5 linked regions of the Macaca fascicularis genome follow. The protein of the gene in region 3 interacts with the protein of the main gene of each other region in a pairwise test. Links are inferred from orthologs where the notes say so. Each region holds a gene or a part of one and is shown on either strand. Other genes may lie near its edges.

Evidence for each region.
Region 1: the proteins of SSX2IP (region 3) and CCNH interact in binary tests that used the Homo sapiens proteins (3 or more experiments, as listed by UniProt). The link is inferred for Macaca fascicularis from reciprocal best matches to the Homo sapiens genes SSX2IP and CCNH.
Region 2: the proteins of SSX2IP (region 3) and CCHCR1 interact in binary tests that used the Homo sapiens proteins (3 or more experiments, as listed by UniProt). The link is inferred for Macaca fascicularis from reciprocal best matches to the Homo sapiens genes SSX2IP and CCHCR1.
Region 4: the proteins of SSX2IP (region 3) and TEAD4 interact in a two-hybrid assay, tested with the Homo sapiens proteins (2 studies listed by BioGRID). The two-hybrid records come from large-scale screens. The link is inferred for Macaca fascicularis from reciprocal best matches to the Homo sapiens genes SSX2IP and TEAD4.
Region 5: the proteins of SSX2IP (region 3) and TOP3B interact in binary tests that used the Homo sapiens proteins (3 or more experiments, as listed by UniProt). The two-hybrid records come from large-scale screens. The link is inferred for Macaca fascicularis from reciprocal best matches to the Homo sapiens genes SSX2IP and TOP3B.

Annotation. Positions count from the first base shown.
Region 1 is NC_088380.1:91,395,399-91,400,543, forward strand, and holds the start of CCNH (cyclin-H), read right to left. Parts: upstream 3,184-5,145; 5' UTR 3,074-3,183; coding exon 2,957-3,073; intron 1,635-2,956; coding exon 1,512-1,634; intron 1-1,511. UniProt on the Homo sapiens protein: Regulates CDK7, the catalytic subunit of the CDK-activating kinase (CAK) enzymatic complex. CAK activates the cyclin-associated kinases CDK1, CDK2, CDK4 and CDK6 by threonine phosphorylation.
Region 2 is NC_088378.1:141,510,123-141,515,250, reverse strand, and holds the start of CCHCR1 (coiled-coil alpha-helical rod protein 1), read right to left. Parts: upstream 3,184-5,128; 5' UTR 2,551-3,183; coding exon 2,308-2,550; intron 2,103-2,307; exon of another isoform or gene 2,037-2,102; coding exon 1,970-2,036; intron 1,892-1,969; coding exon 1,678-1,891; intron 44-1,677; coding exon 1-43. Other genes in the region: TCF19 (transcription factor 19), read left to right, coding at 4,425-4,662. UniProt on the Homo sapiens protein: May be a regulator of keratinocyte proliferation or differentiation.
Region 3 is NC_088375.1:149,991,822-149,996,512, reverse strand, and holds part of SSX2IP (afadin- and alpha-actinin-binding protein), read right to left. Parts: intron 2,257-4,691; coding exon 2,106-2,256; intron 256-2,105; coding exon 119-255; intron 1-118. UniProt on the Homo sapiens protein: Belongs to an adhesion system, which plays a role in the organization of homotypic, interneuronal and heterotypic cell-cell adherens junctions (AJs).
Region 4 is NC_088385.1:3,837,686-3,842,839, forward strand, and holds the start of TEAD4 (transcriptional enhancer factor TEF-3), read left to right. Parts: upstream 1-1,971; 5' UTR 1,972-2,056; exon of another isoform or gene 2,057-2,538; 5' UTR 2,539-2,892; coding exon 2,893-2,944; intron 2,945-5,154. UniProt on the Homo sapiens protein: Transcription factor which plays a key role in the Hippo signaling pathway, a pathway involved in organ size control and tumor suppression by restricting proliferation and promoting apoptosis.
Region 5 is NC_088384.1:31,144,645-31,150,041, reverse strand, and holds the start of TOP3B (DNA topoisomerase 3-beta-1), read right to left. Parts: upstream 3,184-5,397; 5' UTR 3,141-3,183; coding exon of another isoform or gene 3,122-3,140; 5' UTR 2,833-3,121; exon of another isoform or gene 2,806-2,832; intron 1-2,805. UniProt on the Homo sapiens protein: Releases the supercoiling and torsional tension of DNA introduced during the DNA replication and transcription by transiently cleaving and rejoining one strand of the DNA duplex.

The DNA.
Region 1 (5,145 bases), on a different chromosome or scaffold from region 3:
AAATTCAGGAAGAAAAATACAAATGTTCACAGATTAACCAATCTTATAAAAATAATGAGCAAGGCAATAAGCCTTCTCTCTAAAGCCACTACATATTTGTGATATTGTTTTGTATCCATTCCCATGATTTGTGATCACTGCTGCCAACTGAATGGCAGAAACAGCACTACCATTTACTGAATGCATACCAAGTGCCAGACTCTGTGATAAGCACAAAACTATCATCATGTTTTAACCCTTACAACAGCTTGGTGAAATATTGCTATCTCTACAGAGAAGGAAACTGAGTATCAATGAGGTGAACTGACTTATCTAGGTCACACAGCTAATAAGGAACAGGAATGAATTCAAGTAAGACCTGCCTGTACTTTTAACCATTATATCATTTGGCTGGAACCAATGAAATAACCACTAATCTATTTTATGATAGAAAAAAGAATATTTCCTTTTAAGTATTTTAAAAGTTTAGTTTTGTCATTATGTATAACAAAAAATTATTCACCAATGATAAACATGTTATTTAAAAATAAATTCCATAAAGAAGTTCATTAAAGGATTTTTTTCTTCATTTGATAAGATCACTTAAATTTACTGCCTCATTTTAGTTCTTTTGTAAGAATAAACCAAATCTGAAGATATAAACTAATCAAGTATACCTAAAACTCTCTCTGAATCTTTGATATCTCAGATGAAAAAAAAATTATAAATTCTATGGACTTAATATTTTCAACATACTTCAAATTTTTTTCAACTATAAAAATGGAGATAATTTCCCAGAAGATTATTCTCTACTCGGTCGTAAGCTAGTCACACTGTATAACTTTAAAATTTAACAGTCTTTTACTTAAGATACACTTCTATATTTGTTCTTTGCAACAAACCTGTGAGAGAATAACGTAAAGACATTTTAAACACCCTCCCACTCTAGCTTTTTTATCTTTCTGCTTTTTAATCTCAGCTACCTGTTTCTCCTCACGGTTGCCCACCCCAGCAAAAAACAAACAGGTCCTCAGAACCATACATCTGAAGCAATAAGACAATCTTTTTTAACCAAAGATAAAACTCCAGCTTCTACTAATTAAGGCTTAAAAAAATCTTATGGTATCAGTTTCAGCTGGGGCATATGATTACCAATTATGAAAGAATGCATTACTTCAAACATTTATTGGGTGTCACAGAGTTGGAAAAGCAAGTAGTCTATGTTCTAGTCCCAGTTCTATGGCTCACTAGTTGAGAACTTAGAGGAAAGTAATTTATTTTGTTTCTTTCTTTATAACATTACCTGACCTCAAATTTTTTTCTGACCACAAAATGAGACTTGAAATACTTTTGAAGATATGATACAGCAATTCAAGAGTTAAGGCCTGAACTGAAAAAGATATAATGTGCCAAAAACTAATTAATTGTAACTAACGTGAATTTTTAAGACTAGAGTGGACAGGGAATTTAGAAGAGGTCAAATTTCACAAGTCAACTAAAGGACATTATATTTCATCACTACTGTAACTTACCACAACAGACCTTGGCATTGCTGGCTTAAACACCGAACAGAATTCCAATAACCTTTTCTCATAGTATTTGCAGAGTGTCATTTCTTCATGAGGCTCAAGAAAGACTGGATCATTCGGAAGAACCTTTAGATCAACAATTACAACACAAGTTCAATGAATTCAATGAATTAAACAATTGTAAAACATTTTTCTCTATCCAGATTAAATTTAGTTTATATCTCCAACGAAGGGGAATATATCACGCCTCGTTTTCTTTATAGATTCGCTAATCATTACACAAAATAGCTGTAGGAAAACAATAAACTAAAACTGTACCATCATTTCACAACTTTTCGGAATGTCAGCTAGACCTTTGCTTCATTATATAAACAATCACGATAGGCTATGTGCATATGCTCACAGCTGTGATATCATTATTTACAAATTTAAAAGTAGATAGACTTTTTACAAATATGATTGGAAAGCTTCCAACATTCGTTTCTCGGTCAGTCATTACGACACAAGTTGTAAAAAAACAGCAAATGTTTCAATAAATTTCTGTTATTTTAAGCTACCCAGTCTGTGGTGATTTTTTTAAGGCAGCCCTTAAGGAAACTAATTCAGGTGCTAAAATCAGTGATGTGAATTAAAGGTAGAAAGTAAAGTAATTCAGTGTCAGTAATTTGGAGGCACTGAACACTTGCTGGAGTGGAGCTTGTAAGAAAGATTAAACCAGTCCTAGAGCTGTAACAGAAGGGACTTGGCTAGCGGGCCACAGTCCAAACCTTATCTTTAGTCACTTGGTTTGTATTCCGTCGCCGGTCTCCCGCCTCATCCAACCCATTCACCACGAGGTTGCTAGAGCGCTGTTTCCAGAACGGAAATCTGATAAGGTTAGCTTCCCATTTTAAATATTTCAAAGGTTCCTCATCCTTTCAATGGAAATTTCAAACGCCTCACTTCCACTTACAAACAAGTTCCCTTCCTACCCTCCCCAGCCATTCCTGTACAGGTACTCACATTCGGCCACATACGACCACAAACACGTCCACGCACCAGCCCTGTAACTTCTGACCTCCCTCCCACTCTGCACGGTAGTTCTGACTGCCTGGAACGTCCTTTCCCCATTTTCTCCGCATTGGCTACTGGGAAAAACCTTCCCCAACATCACCGCTTGACAAGTGAACGGCTCTTGCCACGCACTACCTTAGCACACTACCTACTCTCTTCTTCACCACGTTACAAAGACTGGTTACTTGTCTGCCATTCGACCACGGGGATGGCGTTGTTCGTCTTTGTACCCACGGAACCTCGCGAGGTGCTCGCTTATTTTAATAGATAAACGCACTCCGCGCCGCAGAGGCAGAGAAATGAGGGAGTGAGACTGTCCTGGGAGCCAGAAGAGCTCCCGCAGCTGCTCAGAATTTAGTGACCAAGCAACTGGGCAACCGTCGGGAAAACCTCACCTTCCCGTTGGCCACCGCTTTGCATCTGAATTTGCGGTTGGCGTCGGCCCGCAGTCTTGCCAGCTGCTCCTCACTGGAGAAAGTCCAGTGCCGCTTCTGGCTACTGTTGTGGTACATTGTGGAATCGTGACCAGGTCCAGACAGCCTACAGGTGACAACCCAACCGCAGCAGTGCCGTGGCGTAAAGCAACCGAACCCCCACCTAAGATCTCGCGGAAGCCTAGGGCGTCCGGCCAGCCGGCGCGGGCGCGCTGACGTCACGACTGCGTGTCCAGCGCGTACGCAGTCGCATTTCCGGAGCGGACTAGGAAGAGACCTTATCCAGGGTTCGTTGGGGCGCCCTCTGAGACGTAGGTGGGCGGAGCCTACGGAACGCTCCTCCCGGTGAGCCTGGGACATAGCTCCGCCCCTTCCAGGCAAGATTTAAAGGAGAAGCCCGGCAGGAATGTTCAAAAGAGGCATAAACTGAGGGTGTGGGGTAGGTTGATGTAAATTCACAGGGTGTAATCAGAAATTAGGAAAGGACTTGGTAGGGTGTTCATTTTTAAATGGAGGCCTCACTGAAGTTGACATTTGTGAAAAGGCTTTTTCGAGTTGAAATAGTAGGTTGATCAATCATGTAGGGAGATCATGGGGCCCAGAAAGAATAGGTAAGATCTTCAGGCAGAAGCATTCCTAGCCCTTTTCAGGAGGAGTTTGGAGATCGGTGTTCTTGAAGTACTACCAGAAATCTCTGAGAATGGAACATGGCTGAAAAACTTGAAGCAGTGGATGTGTATTGGCCCTTACAGTTTGCCACTTTTGTTGCCTTGTCTATTCTTTCTCTGTGCAAAAAGCACTTTCCCTTCTGTTGATAACTAGCCAATCCTCTCCCCCTATTTTCACCTCTGAAGCCAAGATGTATGGTAGTTTTAGTTTTCTTGAGATTCCCATCTTCATTGCCTCTAGGGAATCTTACAGTAAGCTATCATGAATATTAAGGTATTTACTAGTTTTTAAATTAATAGGACTTTCAAAATTGCAGGTGAGATCCAAAATTTATGTTGATTCTGAAGTGTCCCATTTAGGCATACCTTATTCTCTCATGTATTTATTATATATCCAAATTTCCCTATGGCAAATAGCTTTTCTAAATAAATAAATAAATAGAAAGAGAAAGATGATGAGACCTAGAGAATTTAGGTCTTGAAAAGCCTAAAAAGAAGTGGCAGGATGGCTTTAACTCTGCTTTCTATGAAAATGTTTTTAGAGGCTTAAGATAGGGAAAGTCTTTTCTTGTTCATTTTTGTTGGGTGCAGTTGAGGTTAGAGTTTGCCAGAGTTATTTGAATTCCTCAAACTTATGCCATTTGTGGTTTATAATTTTGGCGATCCACACACTCAACATATGTGGCTAATCTGGTGTCGTAAATTGGCTAAGAGAGAAAAAGAGAAAGAGAAGATTGAAGGGCATGGCAAATTGATAACAACGAATTGTGAACAACCTAAAATGTTGCATATGGGGGAAAGAATAATTTAATGGAGAAAAACATTAATGGTACAAAAGATAGGAAAATAAGTGATCTAGATAATTAAATGTCTATATAAAGTATTAGACTCATGACAGTTATATATATCATATAAATTCTTTTCATTTTGTTTTTCTGAAAGATATTTGACAACTCCTTAGTTTTATGTAAAGGAAAATAGAAATAGGCATTTAAAAGAGTTGGCAGACTATGATTTCTACAGGGATATGAGTAAAATTTCTGAATGTCACTTAGGAAAAATATATGAAAAACTTGGCATTGCTGGTGTAACTTTTTTTAAACCTTGAACAAATTTTAGTTCATGAAAATTGACATTGATCTTATTTTTCAGTTGTAGTAGGAATTGGGCTGTGTCTAAATTAACTGTCTGCAGAATACAATTGTTGCTGATGCCCTAACATTAAGGCTCATGTATGATTTTTTTTATTAAAGTAAGCAGACTGGATGCTGTGATGGTCTCCTACTTAGCCTGATGTGCGAAAGTGTTTCTTTGCTATTGCTACCACAGGAGGCACACTGGAATGTAGAACTTGTGCATTTACCTATTTCCATTTCTAGTTTCAACTAAAAAGCAGCAGGTGTTTCTCTTCACTTCTATTATTTTTACTTACTTTATTTATGGAAAATTTCAAATATAAAGAATACAGAGAAATATATTTCA
Region 2 (5,128 bases), on a different chromosome or scaffold from region 3:
AGCCTGCTGGCTCAGGGCCTGTGACCCCTCCAGCTCCCAGGACCTTCAAAGACAGGTTAGTGCAGGTGAGACTTGTCTCCAGTGCTGGAAGGATAGTTGAGGGTGTAAACATAGCCAGAAGGAAAAGAGGACCTCTCTGCCCCCGTGTGAGGAGGTGAAGGGGGTGCTGAAGCTGGGGTATGGGGATGTCTGCATTGACATTATTATCATTCATCAAAGCCCTATTGAGCATGTTAAGTCCAGTGCCTGGACTCACAGGACCTAAAGTCTGGCTGAGATGATGGAACATGATCTCCCTAGAGAGAGCTACATACAGACAGATTCAACATCAAATGTGTATATCATTAGGCCACACATTCTTTTTGTTTTTTGGTGTTTTTTTGTCTTATTTATTTTTTATTTTTAGGCCACACATTTTAAGTGGAAAGGTTGGAAGAACAGAGACTTCTCAATTCTGATTTAAGGGCAAGAAGTTTGAGGGAGGAATGGGCATAGAGAGAGCTGAGCTTCCAGTATCAATATGGTGAGGCCAGGTGCTAGTTAAAATGCATTTATTGAGTGTTAGGTATACTTTATGAGGAGTCTGAGAGAACAGTACATAAATAACATAGTGCCAGCCTTTGGAGACATTGTCTACCAATATCACGTGAAGTTTAATCTAGCTTGGAACGTGGCTCCTGAGGCAGCTGTCTCTCTGACACCCAGGACCACAGGAGATTGTTGTTGTTGTTTTTAGAGACAGGGTATCACTGTGTCACCCAGGCCTCAATGCAGTGGCTGGATCATAGGTCACTGCAGCCTTCAACTCCTGAGCTCAAATGATCCTACCACCTTAGCCTCCCGAGTAGCTGGGACTACAAATGCATGTCACCACAGCTAGCTAATTATTTTCTGTGGAGACGAAGTCTCACTTTGTTGCCCAGGCTGGTCTTGAACTCCTGGGCTCAAGTGATCCTCCTGCCTCAGCTCCCAAAGTGCTAGGAGTATAGGTGTGAGCCACCATACCTGGCCTTTTCTTTATTTTCTTCATTTATTTTTAAGTATCAGGGATTTGTAGGCTAGGGAAATTGACTTGCCAAATGTCCTCTAGCTGGTAGCCAAACTAGAAAGAGAGTCTCTGTCTCCTGACACCCAGTCTAGTGCTCCTTCTTCTTCATCGTGCTGCTGCTTCTAATGTAATCCTACTCTGGAGCAAAATGGCAGAATGATATCCCAGTACATCTGGGAAGACACATGAAACAACAAGAATAAGAATGTTTACAGACAATACGACAGCATGGCCAGCTCCCATAGCATGTCCTCTGTAAAGGCTTTCTTCCATCAGAATGAACCCACACTGCCACAGTCCTGGGTCTCTACTTCTAGTTTGCACTTCTTCATCTTGCCTCATACTATGCTTTACCATCAGTTGATGGTCAATCTATCTCCCCTCTTAGGATTTTAGATTCCTTATTAATTACAAATTTAAGTCAGGATTTGTCTTATTCATTATTGTTATCCTCATCCCTAGCACCTAGCACACTGCTTTATTATCTAAGCACTGCAGGAACTAATAATTGCTTGCATAAAAATGAGTAGGTTCTGGAAACTAGGGCCGAAATAGGGTAAGGAGTTTATTCCAGTGAAGAAGGGTCACTAGCAAGCCAGCCTGAGAAAACAGCGAGGATGGATCCCTACCTGCCTCTCCGCCCTGGCTCCTGCCTGTCACTGGAAACATCCTGTTTCCACATGGTCACTTGAGGTCTCTGGGTGTCTAGTCGCCTCTCTGAGACATCTTGATGGCCTGGGGGTTGGACCAGGGGAATGTCTGAGAGCCAGGTGGGAGCCATTCTCGGCAGAGTTGAAAGGGGCCGAGCTTGAAAATGGGAGGGAGGAATCAGCCCAGTGGAACCTGAAGAATTACAAAATCAAAGATGGTCAGTTTCCCAGGCAGAGACAACCACCACTCCCCTTGTCTGGTCCCACTGACCTGAAGGTGGAAACATCTCCACATTATTTGAAGGCTCTAGATTCTGTCTCCAGCCATCTATGTTCCCCTGGACAATAGGAGAAACAAAGACACTCCAATTCAATTTTCAGGCCACCTTCCAAAGAGAAAGCCCCTACAATAACCAAGTCATAATCCTTGAATTACAGCCAGGTCCACCCGATGCTCAGCTCTTTTCCTACTTCCCCAAAGAAGTAGGAGATACCCCAAATTCACTTGCTTGTCTCAACCTGGTTCCTCAGGGAACCCAGGCAACTATCAAGTGGAGAGAATTTACTGAAAAAGACAGACCGAGAGGGGCTCTGAGGCTTTACTCATACTTTCAGGATTCTGGGCAGTGCCTTTACCCTCCTCCTTAAGTTTCTATGGTCCCTGCTGCCCCTGGCCAGAGGTGAGAAAGGAGGTACACAGTGCAGGGGTCTTGAGCGCCATCTCCAGAGTTCTCTCCATGGCTCAGCAAGGCCTGGGGGAATCCCATCCAGACACCACCAGGCCATGACTCTTGGGTCCTTCCCTATTAAAGTGCTGGCCCAAGGCCTGGCCCCAGCTGAATGTGGCCACATGCAGGGCTAGACCCTTCCCAAGACCTTGGGAATCCAAGCAGCCTAGATCCCCAGGCAGAAAAGCCAGCGTCCTGACATCTCATCCAAATCTTTACTGCGGCTGTCCTCTCAGCTTCTCTCTACTATCCTCTCAGCTTCCATGCCTGCCGCCCGCCTCCTCTTTCTCGAGTCCTAACACATAGTGGGCACTTTAAGACCTTCCCCCCACCCTCCCACCCTCATTAATCTATTTTTTACCCGAATCTGGGATCCCTACTCCGGTCCCTTTTTACATCCTAATCTACTTTTTTCTGAAGGAATTGTTCTGGTCCTCACCCTCACCCCCATCTCTCAATAGTCTGCTCTCGCCCCCTGTACGCTAGCCGGCTCTGCTCTCCCCCCACTGCTCCCCTAGATACCCAAGGCTGTTCACCCAGTTGGCCCCTGAGCTCTTAGGCTGTTCTGATCTCCTCATCTACCCCTTCACCTGGCCCCTGTTCCCCCTTCCCCTTTGGACCCCTTGAACCCTCCCAGCACCCCCGCTCAACCCCTTCCCGCCCACAACCGACTCTTCCCGAACGTCCCTTACCCACCGCGAGAACCCCTACTGCGCCTTGACCACACCCCCTACGCCTCGCTCCGGGCCCCGCCTCTGCCTCGGCCTCTGACCGCGCCTGCGCAAGGCGGGGGCCCTAAGGTCCTATCTCCCTGTAGGGAGGAGGAAAGGTGTACGCAGGCGCAGTGGCGTCTAAATCTGGGCCCACAGAATGTGTCGACGCCTGTCCGCGCCCAGGCGGCTCCTCCCCACTGCGGGAACCCGGGAAAACTTGTGAACTAATCAGAAAAAGCGGAAGGCGGGAGATCTTAGGGAGCCGTCCAATGGCGCGGAAGAGAGCAAATGAGCTGGCCAATCAGAAACGGCACGGGGGCGGGCTCGCTCGGCGCGAAGTTCGGGCCCGGGAATTCCGAAGGAGGGGTAGGCGCTGCCCGCGCGCCGAGGCCGCGCCCCTCCTGGCCCCGGCTTCCTGGCTGTCAAACAGCTGCAGCAGTATCGGCTACAGCAGAGGAGCCCAGGGGGTCCCAGGACCCGCGGCACAGGCTGGCACTGCTTGAAGAGGAGGCTACTCGGAGACTGCACCGCGCTGGTAGATCCGAAACGGGGCTGGGGCCGAGAGGGAAAAGGCCGGGTATGCCTTGCATGATCGCGGGGAGCCCCTTCCTGTTTTTATCCCACCTAGAGAAGCCGGGAAGTAGGGGTTTAGGTCCAATTTGTTGGAGTACTTAAGAACTCGTTTGCACTTCCTTTTGGGGGATGACAGTAGATTCATTGCCCTCGGAGGTTCAAACTAGTTATGAGTGAGGGATTGGCCAGAAGATCGGGGCGCAGGCAAGCGGGAGTGCTCTATTAGGATAAGCAGGTTTGACAGGAAGAAGCTGCTCTTCTCCGAATTACACAGAGGTGATGTGTTCGTACTGCACGTAGACGTGTGTATAACAGGACCTCCCCCCCGCGCCCCGCCACACCGACACACACAGGAGCTGCCTAAAGTATCCTTGCCTTGCAGATTGGAGGCTCCCCAGATATTTTGCGACCTGAGGATCCAGCTCAAGTGAGGTGCCACAGGACGTGGTCCTGAGTTTGCATTGCACGGAGACCTTCCTGGAATTTTTCATTTGCAAGTCGGCTTAACAACCGATTCTGCATTGAGTCCTAGGCTGCTTGCACTCTGAATTTGGACTATTCAGGTAGTGTGCTCAAAGTTGAAACTGCACACAGCACAACTCAAGTTTGCATCAGACTGGTAAGCGAACTTAAGCCAGCGGTGCGTGGCCCAGGAGTGGGAAAGGAAATGGATCCCTAAAGTGGAAGAGGTGGTGCAAAGGGGGCACCGCCCATGCTGCCCTGCTTCCAACTGCTGCGCATCGGGGGCGGCAGGGGCGGTGATCTCTACACCTTCCACCCCCCCGCCGGGGCTGGCTGCACCTATCGCTTGGGCCACAGGGCCGACCTGTGTGATGTGGCTCTGCGGCCCCAGCAGGAGCCTGGCCTCATCTCTGGGATCCACGCCGAACTGCACGCCGAGCCCCGGGGTGATGATTGGAGGGTCAGCCTGGAAGACCACAGCCTCCAAGGTGAGCAGTAAGCAGGGCAGCTTTGCCCCTGGGTGGTTGAAGTTCCAGGCTGGAATGAGTAAGGTCTCCACAAGACCCTACTGCCTGCCTCCCATACTCCCATCAGATTGGATGGATGGTAATTGTCCAGACCTTCATCTTCCCACTAGAAGTATGCACAGTCAGAAGCTCTCTGCCAGACCGACCCTTGTTGGTCCCGTTTAGCTCATACAGGACCTGGGGTATCATCAGAAAGATGTCACAGAGGGGATGTTTAGAGGCCAAGTTTAGACTTGATTCAGTTTCCAGCTTTGCTGAGGCACTCTGTTCCTGGGTTAGGGCAGTTCTATGTTGAATAATGTTTTTGGTAATCTGGGTATATGTCTTTCTCCCTGACTTGAGGGAGTTAGCCTCAGAAAGCCTAGATTCACATTTGAGTTCTGCCACTGGCCCCTGGCAAAATCTCTTCCTCTTGGTAAAGTCAGTT
Region 3 (4,691 bases):
GACTAGAAAACTGTCAAATACCAGGGCCTTATGAAATAAAGGAATACAAATCTGCTAAGGTTCAGCACAATTCTGGCTTCTCATGGAGAACAAGTTTTACAAGGTAATTCATATTCACCTGCAAAAGCTGTTGCTGAGTTTTAATCATTTCTTTACACTGCTGAATTTCTAACTCAAGTTTTTCAGTTTCTTGTTCGTGGTCTTGTCGTGAGATAACATCTTCATCATTAAAACCTTCCAGGTGTACCTTTGAAACTAAGACAAAATCAGTAAGTTGACATAGGTTTTATAGCCACCATTTAGTTTACAGTGTTTCTACACATATCGTTAAAATAAGGGCTCTCAGAACTTTTATCTTTCTAGAATTTTATAGGTTTTCTAAAAAGTAGTTATGTCCTTTGGCTTTTTAAAATTTCATAAGCTATAACAAAATTACATTTATATTATTTTAACATTATAAAAAATTTTTAAGCAGCACAGCAACTACAGGAGTTCATGACAATTATATATTTGTACAATTTTAAGACTAAATGATATGCTTACAAATGGAGCTCTATTGCCAAGATTTAATTTGTAAACCATATTTATTCAAGATTATGTCCTAATTAAAAACAGACAAAATGGCCATATTCAGAGAAGAGAAAAATAAAATCATTATGTTTTTGTTGACACTGCTTCAAAGATCAATGACGTGTCACAAATCTTGCTCTCAAATATTAAATTCAACAAACACGAAGTCCAAACACACTTGCTATTTGCTAGTAGACAGCACTGACTCAAATGAACAAAATCTCGAGTATATTCATTTTGGTGTTGTAATAATAATTTTGCCGATTGCTCTTTACTACTTAACATAATGGCATTGAGTTCATATTTTGACAATTTAAATTTTTTCTTTACATAGGCTTCATTTACAGAGCAGAAATCTTCATTTTCCTAATTTAAAAGCAAACTTTACCAAGTAGAAAATATTAAGAATATATTCATCAATGTAGAGCTATGTATAAGGAAAAAGAATGTCTGAAATAATAAAGTGAAAAAAGCACACTAAACAAAAATATAGGTGACATTCAATTTTTAAAAAAATTTTAAAAATAAGTATCTTGCAAATCCATAGAGGAAAGTCTAGAAAAATATACACCCAACTGTTAAGTGTTATATGTATGGAATGGAGACCTGGATATTCTACTTTATGTACTTCCAAATTAATATTTTGCATTAAACATCTATTATTTTAAAAATAATTTTAAGTGAATTACTAGGAACACAGTAATCTGCAAGCATCTAGAAATAAGCAAAAAGTTCCTATCTATACTATGATAAATATTTCTTGATTTTTTGAGAGTCAGTAAAAAAGACTCAGTTTTCTCTCTTTTTTGGGGGGGAACAGGTGGTGTGTGGTTACACGAATAAGATCTTTGGTGGTGATTTCTGAGATTTTGGTGCACCCATCACCCAAGCAGTATACACTATATCCAATGTGTAGTCTTTTATCCCGGCTCAGTTATCTTTATTCGATTGTATACTGCATCCAGAGCAGATGGATCCATGATGTCCTCTTTTCAAACATTCACCCTGAGACCAAAGTGTATTTTTCTCAGTGAGGTTCAAACCTCACATCTAAATGTATGTAAAATCTTGGCTGTGCACTGTGGCTCACACCTGTAATCTGGACACTTTGGAGAGGCCAAGGCAGGTGAATCACTTGAGGCCAGGAGTTCAAGATGAGCCTGGCCAACACAGCGAAACCCCATCTCCACTAAAAACACACCAAAAAATTAGCTGGCTGTGATGCGCGCCTATAGTCCTAGCTGCTCAGGAGGCTGAGGCAGGAGAAATCACTTGAACCTGGGAGGCGGAGGTTACAGTGAGCCGAGATCGCACCACTACACTCCAGCCTGGGTGACAGAGCAAGGTTCTGTGTCAGGAAGTAAAATAAAATAAAATGAAAAAATAAATGTATGCAAAATCTTGCTTTCAAACCACCAAACTGAAGTATATAGTACTTTAGCTCTGAGCCTACAGATATAGCTTTCTAAGTGACTGAAAATCAACACCTTACCAAATGTCACAACTCACTTTACATGCAGAGAAGCAGTGGTTACCTTGGTTATCAAGTTTTTCTACATGACTTTTCAAAATTCTCCACTGTTTTCTGATGCTGTTTGTAAGCTGCTCTCTCACAGTTTCACAGGAAAGGTCCCACATGCTCTCTCTGCTCAGTTCCCCGGCATCTTCTTCAACATCAGAAATAACCTACAAGTGGAGAGAGATGAAGAGGAAAGGCTACCACCTTACAATGGCTTTAGATGCTCAGGCAAGTAGTCTTCAGTTTGATTTCCAGAGGGAGCCGCATCCGAAGCATTTCTGTGCTGTGTCTTATGCACATATGACCCAGTATTTAACATAAATGTCTTGGAAAAAAAAAAAAGAAAAAGACAGAGACTCCTAAATTCAGCTCGCTCTAAACCTGAATTTGAATCCAAATACAGTTAATGACAAGAGTCATGAAGCTGTCTGAGGAGATATCAATAGCTGTCTAATGTGTTGGATGTTTTCACACGTTATTTAACCCTCAGCTCATTACAATGTAGGAAAACTGAGGCTTAGAGAAGCAGCATTACAACTAAGAGGCAGAACTGATATTTGACATTAGATCAACTTGTTTCTAACCCTAGGCTGCTTAAAGAAACACATTTGTGAAATAATCTCTGAAGTACTTAATAGAAGCAACTGTTAATTCTATTTTCCTCATGTACTTTTGTATACAACTGGAGATATTTTTCTTTGTATTCTGCCAAAACATGAAATCATAAAGAAGTAGCAAACTTTACTGATATATGATCATACAGAATCAAAGCAGGATAAAGAACATGGGGAAACAATACTAAAATGGATATATGTCATAATAACCCACATCTACATAAAGTAGTTCTAATTTGTCATTAATATTCAGGAAGGTAGAAAGATACGCTTCACTAATTTGAACAATAAAAATCTTGCTGGGGTAAAAAGGAAGACAAAAGCTGAAAAGAAAGAAGGGCTGATTCGACTGCTCTCACATAGAGATCAGCAGGATGAGGGAGCAACTGAGTCTGAAGAACTCTATCAGTAGTTGAGGTCAGCAACGGCTAGTAGAGGTCAGGGATTCAGAGGCAGAGCAGACAGGGGAATGGCCCAGGATCTGGCTCATGGTGATTCTAGCCCCTTCCAATCCTCAAAAGCTACTTGCCAGTAACTGTTTCAAGGAAGCACAACTTGTCTTCTGAACATTTTAAAGCCTATTAGAATACTACGAATCTGTTAGAAAAATTATTGGCCAGGCGCAGTGGCTCATACCTGTATGTAATCCCAGCACTTTGGGAGGCCGAGGTGGGCAGATCACAAGATCAAGAGATCGAGACCATCCTGGCCAACATGGTGAAACCCTGTCTCTACTAAAAATACAAAAATTAGCTGGGCGTGGTGTTACATGCCTGTAGTCCCAGCTACTCAGGAGGCTGAGGCAGGAGAATCGCTTGAACCCGGGAGGTGGAGGTTGCAGTGAGCCAAGATGGCACCACTGCACTCCAGCCTGTAAACAGAGCGAGACTCTGTCTCAAAAAAAGAAAAATGAGTAATTATTGCACATTTCTCAGATTGAACAGAACTCTGTAACCACAAAATGAAAATTAAAAATTTGGCTGGGCACAGTGGCTCACACCTGTAATCCCAATACTTTGTTAAGGCCAAAGTGGGATGACTGTTTAAGCCCAGGAGTTCAAGACCAGCCTGGGCAACAAGACCCTGCCTCTAAAAAACCAAAAAACAAAACAACAAACTCATTTTACCTGAATTTTTGGTATATGTTTTAGCTACAAGTAAGTAGGTCAAATAATAAATGAAACCTGGATGCTACCTAGGCATTCCAAACATTACATCTTATTTCTCTCGCTATAATGCTTCAAAAATCTTTCCCTACAAAAATGAAAGAGAAAAGGGAGCTAGAAAAATGGATCTTTTAAAACTAGAAAATATATTCAAGAGATCGTTGTTAGTCCACTTAAACATCTGAATTATGAAGAATTATACAGGATACTACCCACTGGCTGAGTAATGGGGGTGAGGAAGGTTTAATCACTGGAGAAAGATCTCCCTGATTTGCCACATACTTTTGCTGACTGAAATCTGGTGATGAGACGTTAAGGTTGGACCAAAAACTGAAGACGCTGCAGGAGTAACGGACACTATGCTAACCTTTAAGAAGTATTAGTGAATGTTAAGAACTGACTAGAAGTGACAGAGTTTGAGATAAAAAGGTTACCTACATATAAGAGGTCAAGCAGGCCTCAAAATGGAGAATGTAAAAGATATTCGGGAATTCAAGACCAACCTGACCAACATGGAGAAATCCCATCTCTACTAAAAATACAAAATTGGCTGGGTGTGGTGGTGTATGCCTGTAATCCCAGCTACTCCGGAGGCTGCGGCAGGAGAATCACTTGAACCCGGGAGGTGGAGATTGCAGCGAGCTCAGATGGTGCCACTGCACTCCAGCCTGGGCAACAAGAGCAAAACTCCGTCTCAAAAAGGCCTGGCGTGGTGGCTCACGCCTGTAATCCTAGGACTTTAGGAGGCCGAGGAGGGCGGATCACGAGGTCAGGAGATTGAGACCATCCTGGCCAACATGGTGAAACCCTGTCTCTACTAAC
Region 4 (5,154 bases), on a different chromosome or scaffold from region 3:
AATGCACTGTAACTTGGATTTCACTGTTCTTGCCCTTGCGCTCCCATTGAACTCGGCATAATTGTCTGTCTTCTCACCTAGACTGGAACTACTTGAGGAAAGGGACCTACCCCTTCCCTTACTGCGGTGTCAAAGTCAACAAACACTCAAATGATTGCTGAATTCATATAATTATTATTAATTACTTTGACACAGGGTCTCGCTCTGTCATCCAGGCTGGCTTGCGGTGATGCATTCACGGCTCATTGCAGCCTCAACTTTCTGGGCTCAAACTATCCTCCCACCTCAGCCTCCTGAGTAGCTGGGACTACAGGTGCAGGAAACCATGATGCCCAGGCGGGCCTCGAACTCCTGGGCTCAAGCAATCCACCTGCCTCGGCCTCCCAAAGTGCTAAGATGACAGGCGTGAGCCACCGCGCCCCCCCCTATGTTGCTGAATTAAATAGTTGGTGCTTAGTGTGTATTTCACGTGGTGCTGATACGCTGCCTTGTGTTTTGGTCTTTTCATGTGCATGAGGCATGACCAAGCCTTGATATGACTCATTATTTAATAAAAATACCACAATTCATCTATTCAAATGAGGGCTTTGTCTTCAACGCCTTCACCTTGCAGGAGTGGATGCTTAGCTCAGTGACGGCGTCATTGCTTGAAAGACTTTTGGAATACCTCTCTTGGAAACAACTTTGGCACCGAAAGCACTTTCCTTTCAATATCTTCCACGGTAGCAATTGTTTTTCATTTACGCAGCATTTATCATGCACTTCCCTATCCCAGGCACCAGGCTGGTTCTGTGTGAAAGATAAGATAAATCAGACATTACTCTGTCTTCAAGGAAGTTTCTGTTTGGCAAGGGAGATAAGATCTAGACAACCACCCAACACAAGGCTAAGTGATAACGCCCCAGAAAAGTTTGGACTTGATTTTTGGAAAAAGCCAAAAGTCCTTTGGTTTCAGTCTCCTGGCCAGGTAGATGATGGCGCTGTCTGCCAGCACACTGCTTTAAGCCCGTTTGTCCTGAGCGTCTCCAAACAAGGAGCCCAGCGTGTTTCCAGCACCCCCTGCCCCAACAAGAGACTCTTGGGCATGTGTGTCTGAAGTCCAGACTCTCGCCGATGGCAGTATACTCCGAGGCCTCCCCAGCTAAACTCTGGGCTCTTTGAGGGCAGGTGCTGAGGGCTGATCCTGGTCTTCACAGTATCTGGATTCATCATACATATTAGATGAATATTCATTGAGTCACTGAGCCCAAAAGGCGTCTCGGGGCATGCCACATGGACTTCAAACCGAGTGCCCTTTCTCCCATGTGGTTTACTCGTAGTGGCAGTTTTACAGATGCCCAAGGGGCAGGAGAGAAAAACGGAAAGGGCTAAAGCCGGGGAGGGCAAGCGAGGGGGCACTGGCGGCGGATCCGGGAATGGAGCCCGCGAGTTCCTGCTTCCTGGTTCCCCGGAGCAAGTGTCCTTTGGTGGGAGCCGCAGGGAAGGGAGCAGCCCTTCCTGCGCGCCGGGCGCCCGCCCCTTCCCCGGCCTCCCAGGGACTCGCACGGAGGGACGCCGGGTGGCGGGGCGGGAGGCCGGGCCCCGTCCACCTCCCCCCGGGACAGCCCCACCCCGGCGAAGAGGAAGGCTCTCGGCTCCTGGGAAAGAGAGTCGGGACCCCGCCAGGACGGGAGGGCGCGGGGCGCGCAACCAGCAGGCAAAGAGTCGGAGCGGAGAGATCGAAGGGCGAGTGGGCGTGGGGGCCGCAGCCGAGGCCGGGGTGGAGGGGTCCCCGCGGTTCCTCGACCCCCTCCCCCGCCGCCCGCCCCGGCCCGGCCCGGCCCCGCCCCGCCCCTGCGGCCCGGCCCCTCGCCCGCCCGCGCTCCGCGCAGTCTCCTCCCCGAGGTGCCGGTGGCCCGGCCGCCACTCCCTCCGGCTCCCTCCCTCCCGCTCCCTCCCTCCCGCCGCGGCGCGCATCTCATTCCAGCCCTCATTCCGCGCATTCCAGCGTCCTCCTCGCACACTCGAGGCCAGGGGGCGGGAGGGCCGCAGCTCCGGCGCCGCCGCGTCCCGCCAGGTGAGAGGCGCCCGCGCCCGCCTCGCCCGCCGCACCCGCCGGCGCCCTCCCGGGCCGCGCGCCCCACGCCGCCGCCGCCGCAGCCGACCGCTCGCGCCGCGTGCTCGGCTGCTCTTTTCTTTCCGCGGCCCGCGTTCCCGCCTCGGACCTCTGCGCTCCGGCGCGCTCCGTCCCGACCCCTGGCTTCCCTCCGCGCTCCGACGCTGCTCGCTGCCCCTCTCCCGCTTCCCTCCCGTCCGCCCCGCGCTCCCCTCCTCGCTCCCGGTTGACTCACTCCTCCAGGAATAGGGATCCCCGTGTTTTCCCGTCAGTCCCATTCTGGGAAAACTCCTCCCTCCCGCGCGCTCCGCTCCGCTCCGCTGGGTGCACCGGGGCCGGTCGGCGCGGGGTGGGCTTGGCCCCGCGGCTCCGCCTTCACTGCGCCGCCCGTCGGCCCCGGCCGGAGCCCGGCTCTACGCGCTGACGCCCTGTCGTCCCCGCAGAGCGATCGCCGCGGCCAGAAGAGTTGGCGCTCGGGGCGGACTCCTTGGAACTGGCTTAGCGCACACATCCCACCTTCCCGAACCCTGGGACCGGTAAGGCTGGGGAGCGGGGACTTGGTGGGACTTTGCCGGAGGGCAGGAGTCTGCGCGGTGAGTGCGGTGCTCCCTCTCGGGAGGAGACTGGGAAGAGCGAGGCACGTGGAGGCGGCGCGACTGAGGCTGGTGGAGGCGAAGCGGCTCCAGGGGCGGGTAAGGGGGGTGGACACTCGGGACTTTGGGGAAGAGGGAGGCCGGTGTGGAAAGGACCGGAGAGGCAGAACCGAGAGCGTCGGCAACAGAAGAGACTCAGCACCCATGCCCCTTTTCTGCTGGGCCCTTTTTGAGCCTGGAAGGGAGAGACCTGGTGGTAAGCGGACTGCCTGTTTTAAGTGCACAGGCGATGCGAAAGTGGGGGGACGCCTGCAAAAGGTCCTACACCCCAGGGCTTGGGAAGCTGCTGTGTTCCCTGATGGAGACTAGTGAATCGATCCAGGGAGCAGAACTTTCAAACCCCAAAGTGAACATTTCCCCCGCTGCGCTCAGGCACCTGAGGCCTCGCGTACTGACTGCGTCTGTGCTGAATCTGTGTGACAACTGACTGCGCGTCTCCCTCGCTTTGAGTCTCTGTGTGGGTGATATCTATTCACGTGTGACTCACCTTGGCTTCCAGTGGGCGTATCTGTTTGTGTTGAACGTGAGTGACAGAGTGTGTGTATGTGTCTGCGTAAGAAGGGGCTCTCTGAAAGTGTGAGTATCTCTGAGTAGGTGTGTGATGCCACGTCTCTTGAGTGTGTGTTTCTCTTCGAGGATATTGGTTCTGGCTAGGACTGTTCTTCCTCCCTACATAGCCGTGGGCAAGAGTCAGTGTCTTTGGTTGCCTGAGTGCAGGGATAATTTGGCTGTGGTTTTGGAGTGTGTGGCCTCCAGGCTCCGTTTCCCCTGGACCGGGCAGAGCTGGAAGGAAGCTGTCTCCACCTGCCTCTTCCAGCCAGGAGGCTGACTTTCTCGGGGCCAGGGGCTTGTGCTTGCCTGGAATGGTTCCGAGAACAAGCTGGTAGGAGGCTGAAGGAAGTTGAGATCTTTGCCTTTGGGGGAGGGGATGGGTGAATGAGATTTGGGAAGGTTTGTTGGGGTGGATCCCTCAGAAAGAGGAGACAGTTTTGAATCTGGAGACTTGTGTAAATACTGCTTTTAAGTTGGCCCCCAAGGACAAACAGATAGGGAGGTATACCAGCCTGAACAACTTTCTCCTGGTTTAACTCTCCTTGGAGCTAACCAGGTAACCCAGTAGAAGAATCCCTCATTCTTTCCAACTTGCTAGACATTCAGCACTTCCTTTGAGAAGAGGAATGAGTAGCCTGTTGCATGAGGGCCTCAATGTGGATATAATGTGTAGGGCTTTTTGGAAGGAAGGAGCCAGAAACTGTCTCGGAGATTGGGGGTTCTTGTCCCTGCTCCTCCATCTATCCTGAGGATTCAGATGTTCTTGTGGGAAACACCTCATCCTCTCACCTCTTCAGCCTGGTGTGCGATGGTCTAAAAGCAGCATTGATGGAGTGGAAAGGGCACCGGTTTAGTGTCAGGCAGACCAGGGTACAAATTCTGAGTCTCTCACTACCTTTAAGGCTCTCAGGCTGTTACCTGGTGGGTAATAGGAGGGGAGCTTGTCTGTCCAGAAAGTTTCCTGTGAAAAGTCGATGTTTGCAGAGCCCCCACGCAGTAGCACAGTACCTGGCACATCCCACGGACTCCATAGGATAGCTGTTGTATCCAGTGTTTCCTAAGCTTATTTCAGTAAGAACCTCTTTTTCCTAGGGATTAGTGTTTTTGGAATTCGTGTTTCTCTGAGCACCATCTGAGAAACCTTGCCCTGTCTATCATGTTTATTTAGCAAACATGGACCGAGCATTTACTATGAGCCAGGCCTACGCTGTGTTCTGCATCCTTAGGAATCAGGGTCCTAGTGGCCCAGGCCAGGAGGGAGGGGGACAGACAGGGCTTGGTCACCAGAGAACATAGTGCCAGCTTCTATTTTTCTGATTCCAGTTTTGCCTTGGCCCCAGGGTGAGCTTGCTGAACATTATTAGATACCCTAATGTCAGCATCTAAGTCCCTCATTTTATTTTATTTCACTTTTATTTTACTTTATTTATTATTGAGACAGAGTCTCACTCTGTCGCCTAGGCTAGAGTACAGTGGCTCACTGCAACCTCCATCTCCTGGGTTCAAACAATTCTCCTGCCTCAGCCTCCTGGCCGGCTAGTTTTATATCCATATATATATATATTTTGAGATGGAGTTTCGCTCTTGTTGCCTAGGCTGGAGTGCAATGGTGTGATCTTGGCTCACCACAACTTCTGCCTCCCGGGTTCAAGCGATGCTCCTGCCTCAGCCTCCGAAGTAGCTAGGATTACAGGCATGCGCCACCACGCTCAGCTAATTTTGTATTTTTAGTAGAGATGGGATTTCTCCATGTTGGTCAGGCTGGTCTCGAACTCCCGACCTCAGGTGATCTGCCCGCCTCAGCCTCCCAAAGTGCTGAGATTATAGGCGTGAGCCACCACTCCTAGCCGTTTT
Region 5 (5,397 bases), on a different chromosome or scaffold from region 3:
AAAAAAAAAAAAAAAAAAAAAAGCATGGCATTCTCTACAGTGGAGCATCTGGCAGCATTAGAAAGGAAAGCATCTGCTTGGTACATACTAACGTGGATCCGATCACTGAGATAAATCATGCTAAGAAAGCTGGGCACGTAACGATGTGTAAAGAGCACTGCCATCTGTGATCACACATATGTGTGCACACGTGTGCATTTGATTATGAAGAGGCAATATGTCTGGATAGAATATAAAACAAACAGTCCAAGCAGTCACCTGGAGTGGGTGTTAGGGCCTGGAGGTCAGGGCTGGGGAGGCCTCCTCACCACATTCTCTTTTGTACCTTTTACATTTAGCACCTGGACACAAGTGACTGAGGAACAAGAACTAAGACAGGGGACTTTAAAATAAAATAAAACCAGAAGAATAAAGGAGGGTTGGAAAGGGCATTGTTCAGAAAGGATGCCAAAGGAACCTCCTTCACTAAAGGGGCTTCTGCTGCTTGTTATGCTGTGCGGGGGAAGAAGTCTGAGGTGGGCCTTGGGCTGTCAACCTTGTCCCCCACTTAAGAGATCACAGGACCACAGTGAAATCAGTAAGCTTGACCAGAAAGCTGCCCCAAATAAAATGACAATTTACTTTTTTCCTCAAAATAAGTAAGTGGATGCTTCCCCTAAATACACAACCATCCCAGAGTGAGAGCCGAGGCCTTGAGGAATGATGGCACTGTCTGCAGATGTGCTCTCCGGCCCATGACAGCTCCAGCTGCATCTTCCACAGCTCTGCTGCGCACCCACCTTTCCTCCCCATGTGCCAGCAGGCTTCGGCCTAGGCCACTTTTCCCCCTTAGTCTACTTGCTCTGACCCCTGCCCCTCCCCCTCCTGAAGACTGCATCTGGCCTCAGCCGTCTGTCTCTCCCGCAATTGTCCCTCCCCCTCCTGAAGACTGCATCTGGCGTCAGCAGTCTGTGTCTCCCACAATTGTCAGGTTCATTGCCGTATTCCTGGCACCCAGCACGCATTAAATGCCTGCTGAGTGAACGAATGAACAACCAAGGTGGTTGTGACTGGCCTCTGCTCTCTGTTCTGGGGAAGTTTTGATTCTACCAAAATCAGAGGCCCAGAAGTGAGGTTTAAAAGAGACCTAGGTACTCCCCTTCCCTCACCCTGGGAAGCCAGAGGCCAAAAGGGAAAACTCGAAGCAGAGGCGGATTGTTCTGTGAGGGTGTAAGTTTCCCATCTCTTCCAAAGTAGGAAGTTTTGTGTTAAAATGTTTCCTCAGATTTTCTCATGTCTATGCCAGAGTAGCCAGCAATTATGTATGACATAACGAGGACACACCAGGGACCAGGCAGTTCTGCCAGCATCCTAGACAGGGACTGTGGGGTCAGAGAGACCAGATCTCCAGTGGCTGGACTTGGTTGTTCTAGAACCCGTGCCCCAAGCCTGATCCTGCCCTGCCTCTGTGAGCATTCTGATGGAACAGCAGCCCAGCTATGCTTCCCTGTAGCACTCACCACTACACCTGGTACAGCCTCCATCTACTTATTTGGCTCGTCCTACAGCTTCTAGAATGTAAATAAGCAGCACGAGAACAGGGGTTTTGCTTTCTTCATTCTCATGGTAAACAGACGGTGAGCAAATACTTTGGGAGGCTGAGGCAGGTGGATCACCTGAGGTCAGCAGTTCAAGACCAGCCTGGCCAACATGGTGAAGCCTGGTCTCTACTAAAAATACAAAAATTAGCTGGGGGGGTGGTGGTGCGTGCCTATAATCCCAGCTACTCAGGTGGCTGAGGCAGGAGAATCACTTGAACCCAGGGGGCGGAGGTTGCAGTGAGCCGAGATGGCGCCACTGTACTCCAGCCTGGGCGACAGAGTGAGACTCGGTCTGAAACAAAACAAACACAAAAAAAGAAACAAGCAGATGTGGCTTGGGAGTAGGCCTAGCAGTGGTCTGAATAGCATTAAAATTCCTAGGATTTACCACCTCAGTAACTTTACCAAATACTTCTAGAATCAGGAAAAGAGGGAAACAACCATTTATTTATTTATTTATTTTTGAGACGGAGTGTCGCTCTGTCGCCCAGGCTGGAGTGCAGTGGCCGGATCTCAGCTCACTGCAAGCTCCGCCTCCCGGGTTTACGCCATTCTCCTGCCTCAGCCTCCAGAGTAGCTGGGACTACAGGCGCCCACCACCGCGCCTGGCTAATTTTTTGTATATTTTAGTAGAGACGGGGTTTCACCGTGTTAGCCAGGATGGTCTCGATCTCCTGACCTCGTGATCCGCCCGTCTCGGCCTCCCAAAGTGCTGGGATTACAAACTCGAGCCACCGCGCCCAGCAACAACCATTTCTTAAGCTCCCCCTTTGTACTAGGCACACCATAGTTACAAACACTATTCAATCTTGCTAACAACCCCATAAGGCAGGTGTTGTAATTTTTTAAAACCGTGAGTAAATGGAGGTTCAGAACAATTCACACTAGCGTCAGGCGACCTTGGCAAAGGAATCCCAGGACTGGCTAGCCATCAAGACCAAGTTAGGCTGGCCTCTCAGGTCCTGTTTCCAAAGGTGAGAAGATAAAAAGGCAAGACGAGGAACATCTTACCTTTCACTTCTGCCAGAAATTATTGCCCCTGGATTCCAGCTAATTCGTTCACAAAAGTACCCCACTTCATTTTTAGATAACAGGTCAGAGAACCTGGGTGCCCTCAAAACCCAGCCAGGGCCTAGGGGGCGGCGAGTGGAAGCTGCCTGGGGGTGTACCGCACCAATCTGGGCCCCGGCGGCTGCACAGCCTCCCTGAGCCTCAGTTTCCCTACCTGTGAGACTGGGACAGCAGACCTCACCTCAAATTGCTGTGGGAGGGTTCGGAAAACAAAAGTATTAACCACAGCGCCTGCTCCCTGCAGGCACAGGGCGGGCCCATCTCCACCTTCCTGAACCCCTACAGCAAGCCCCGCGGGAGAGGATCACCCCCGCCAGGGAAGAGGCAACAAGAATGCAGAGCCCGGCCCGGGCCCTCTCCCGAGCTCGCGGGTCCTCCGCCGGCCAACGTTGAGGAAACAAGCCAGAAAAAGGCCTGCGCTTCCCGCCTTTTTGAGCCGCCCGGCGAGGGGCCCACAGCCTGCCGCTCACCCGCAGCTACACCTCGCATCCAGCTCCGGTCCTTGCTCCCGGGGCGGCCACCAGCAACCCCTACTTCCGGGTCCAGCCGCTTCTGGCGTCCCCGCGTCCGGTGTGCCAGCGTCTGCCCTCCGGCTTCGGCGGGTCGGCGTTCTTAGGTTCCCTGGCTCACGGATTCCGGGAGCACCCCAGGAAGCGGCACTTCCACGCCGCGGACCGCAGGGGTCCCCAAGCCCTGCACCCAGATTCTTCCCCCCGACGGAGAGACAATCACGACAATTATCATTACAATGATTATGAAAACTGGCATGAAAACATCTATGCTGTTAATAATTAAAATAATAAAAATGTACCGATGTGTGTATAGCAAGCTTCTTTCGATGCTGTAAAAAAATCTGTGGAATGAATGAATGATCTGTGTAAAACATATCTGGAAGACGAATTCTAAAATTAAGTTATTTATTTATTGATTGATTGATTGATTTTGAGACAGAGTTTTACTCTTGTTGCCCAGGCTGGAGTGCAGTGGTGTGATCTCGGCTCACTGCAACCTCTGCCTCCGGGGTTCAAGCAATTCGCCTGCCTCAGCCTCCTCAGTAGCTGGGATTACAGGCACACGTCACCACGCCCTGCTAATTTATATGTGTGTATATATATGTGTGTGTGTGTGTATGTATATGTGTATATATATGTATGTGTGTGTGTGTGTGTATATATATATATATTTTTTTTTTTTTTTGAGGCGGAGTCTCACTGTGTTGCCCAGGCTGGAGTGCAGTGGTGTGATCTCGACTCACTGCAACCTCCGCCTCCGGGGTTCAAGCAATTCGCCTGCCTCAGCCTCCTAAGTAGCTGGGATTACAGGGGCACACCACCACGCCCTGCTAATTTATATGTGTGTGTGTATATATGTGTGTGTGTGTGTGTATGTGTATGTTTGTGTGTGTGTGTGTATATATATATATATTTTTTTTTTTTTTTTTGAGGCGGAGTCTCGCTCTGTTGCCCAGGCTGGAGTGCAGTGGCCTCACTGCAACCTCTGCCTTATGGGTTCAAGGGATGATCCCGCCTAAGCCTCCTGAGTAGCTGGGACTACAGGTGTGTAGCTAATTTTTTGTATTTTTTTTTTTAGTATAGACGGGGCTTCACCGTGTTAGCCAGGATGGTCTCGATCTCCTGACCTCGTGATCTGCCCACCTTGGCCTCCCAAAGATTTTTTTTTTTTTTTTTTTTTTTGAGACGGAGTCTCGCTGTGTCTCCCAGGCTGGAGTGCAGTGGCATGATCTCGGCTCACTGCAAGCTCCGCCTCCCGGGTTCACGCCATTCTCCCGCCTCAGCCTCCCAAGTAGCTGAGACTACAGGCGCCCGCCACCACGCCCGGCTAGTTTTTTGTATTTTTAGTAGAGACGGGGTTTCACCATGTTAGCCAGGATAGTCTCGATCTCCTGACCTCGTGATCCACCCGTCTCGGCCTCCCAAAGTGCTGGGATTATAGGCTTGAGCCACCGCGCCCGGCCTCTCATGATCTTATTTTAAATAACACGCACACATTTCCCTTGCTCCCTGTAGATTTTCCCAACCTGCTTTTTTTTTTTTTTTTTTTTTTTTTTTTTGAGACGGAGTCTCGCGCTGTCGCCCAGGCTGGAGTGCAGTGGCCGGATCTCAGCTCACTGCAAGCTCCGCCTCCCGGGTTTACGCCATTCTCCTGCCTCAGCCTCCAGAGTAGCTGGGACTACAGGCGCCCGCCACCTCGCCTGGCTATTTTTTTTGTATTTTTTAGTAGAGACGGGGTTTCACTGTGTTAGCCAGGATGGTCTCGATCTCCTGACCTCGTGATCTGCCCGTCTCGGCCTCCCAAAGTGCTGGGATTACAGGCTTGAGCCACCGCGCCCGGCTTTTTTTTTTTTTTTTTGAGACGGAGTCTTGCTGTGTCACCCAGGCTGGAGTGCAACGGCCAGATCTCGGCTCACTGCAAGCTCCGCCTCCCGGGTTCACGCCATTCTCCTGCCTCAGCCTCCCGAGTAGCTGGGACTACAGGCACCCGCCACCTCGCCCGGCTAGTTTTTTTTTTGTATTTTTTATTAGAGACGGGGTTTCACCGTGTTAGCCAGGATGGTCTCGATCTCCTGACCTCGTGATCCGCCCGTCTCGGCCTCCCAAAGTGCTGGGATTACAGGCTTGAGCCACCGCGCCCGGACTTTTTTTTTTTTTTTTAAGACAGGGTCTCACTCTGTCGCCCAGGCTGGAGCGCAGTAGTGAGATCACAGCTCGCTGCAGCTTCAACCTCC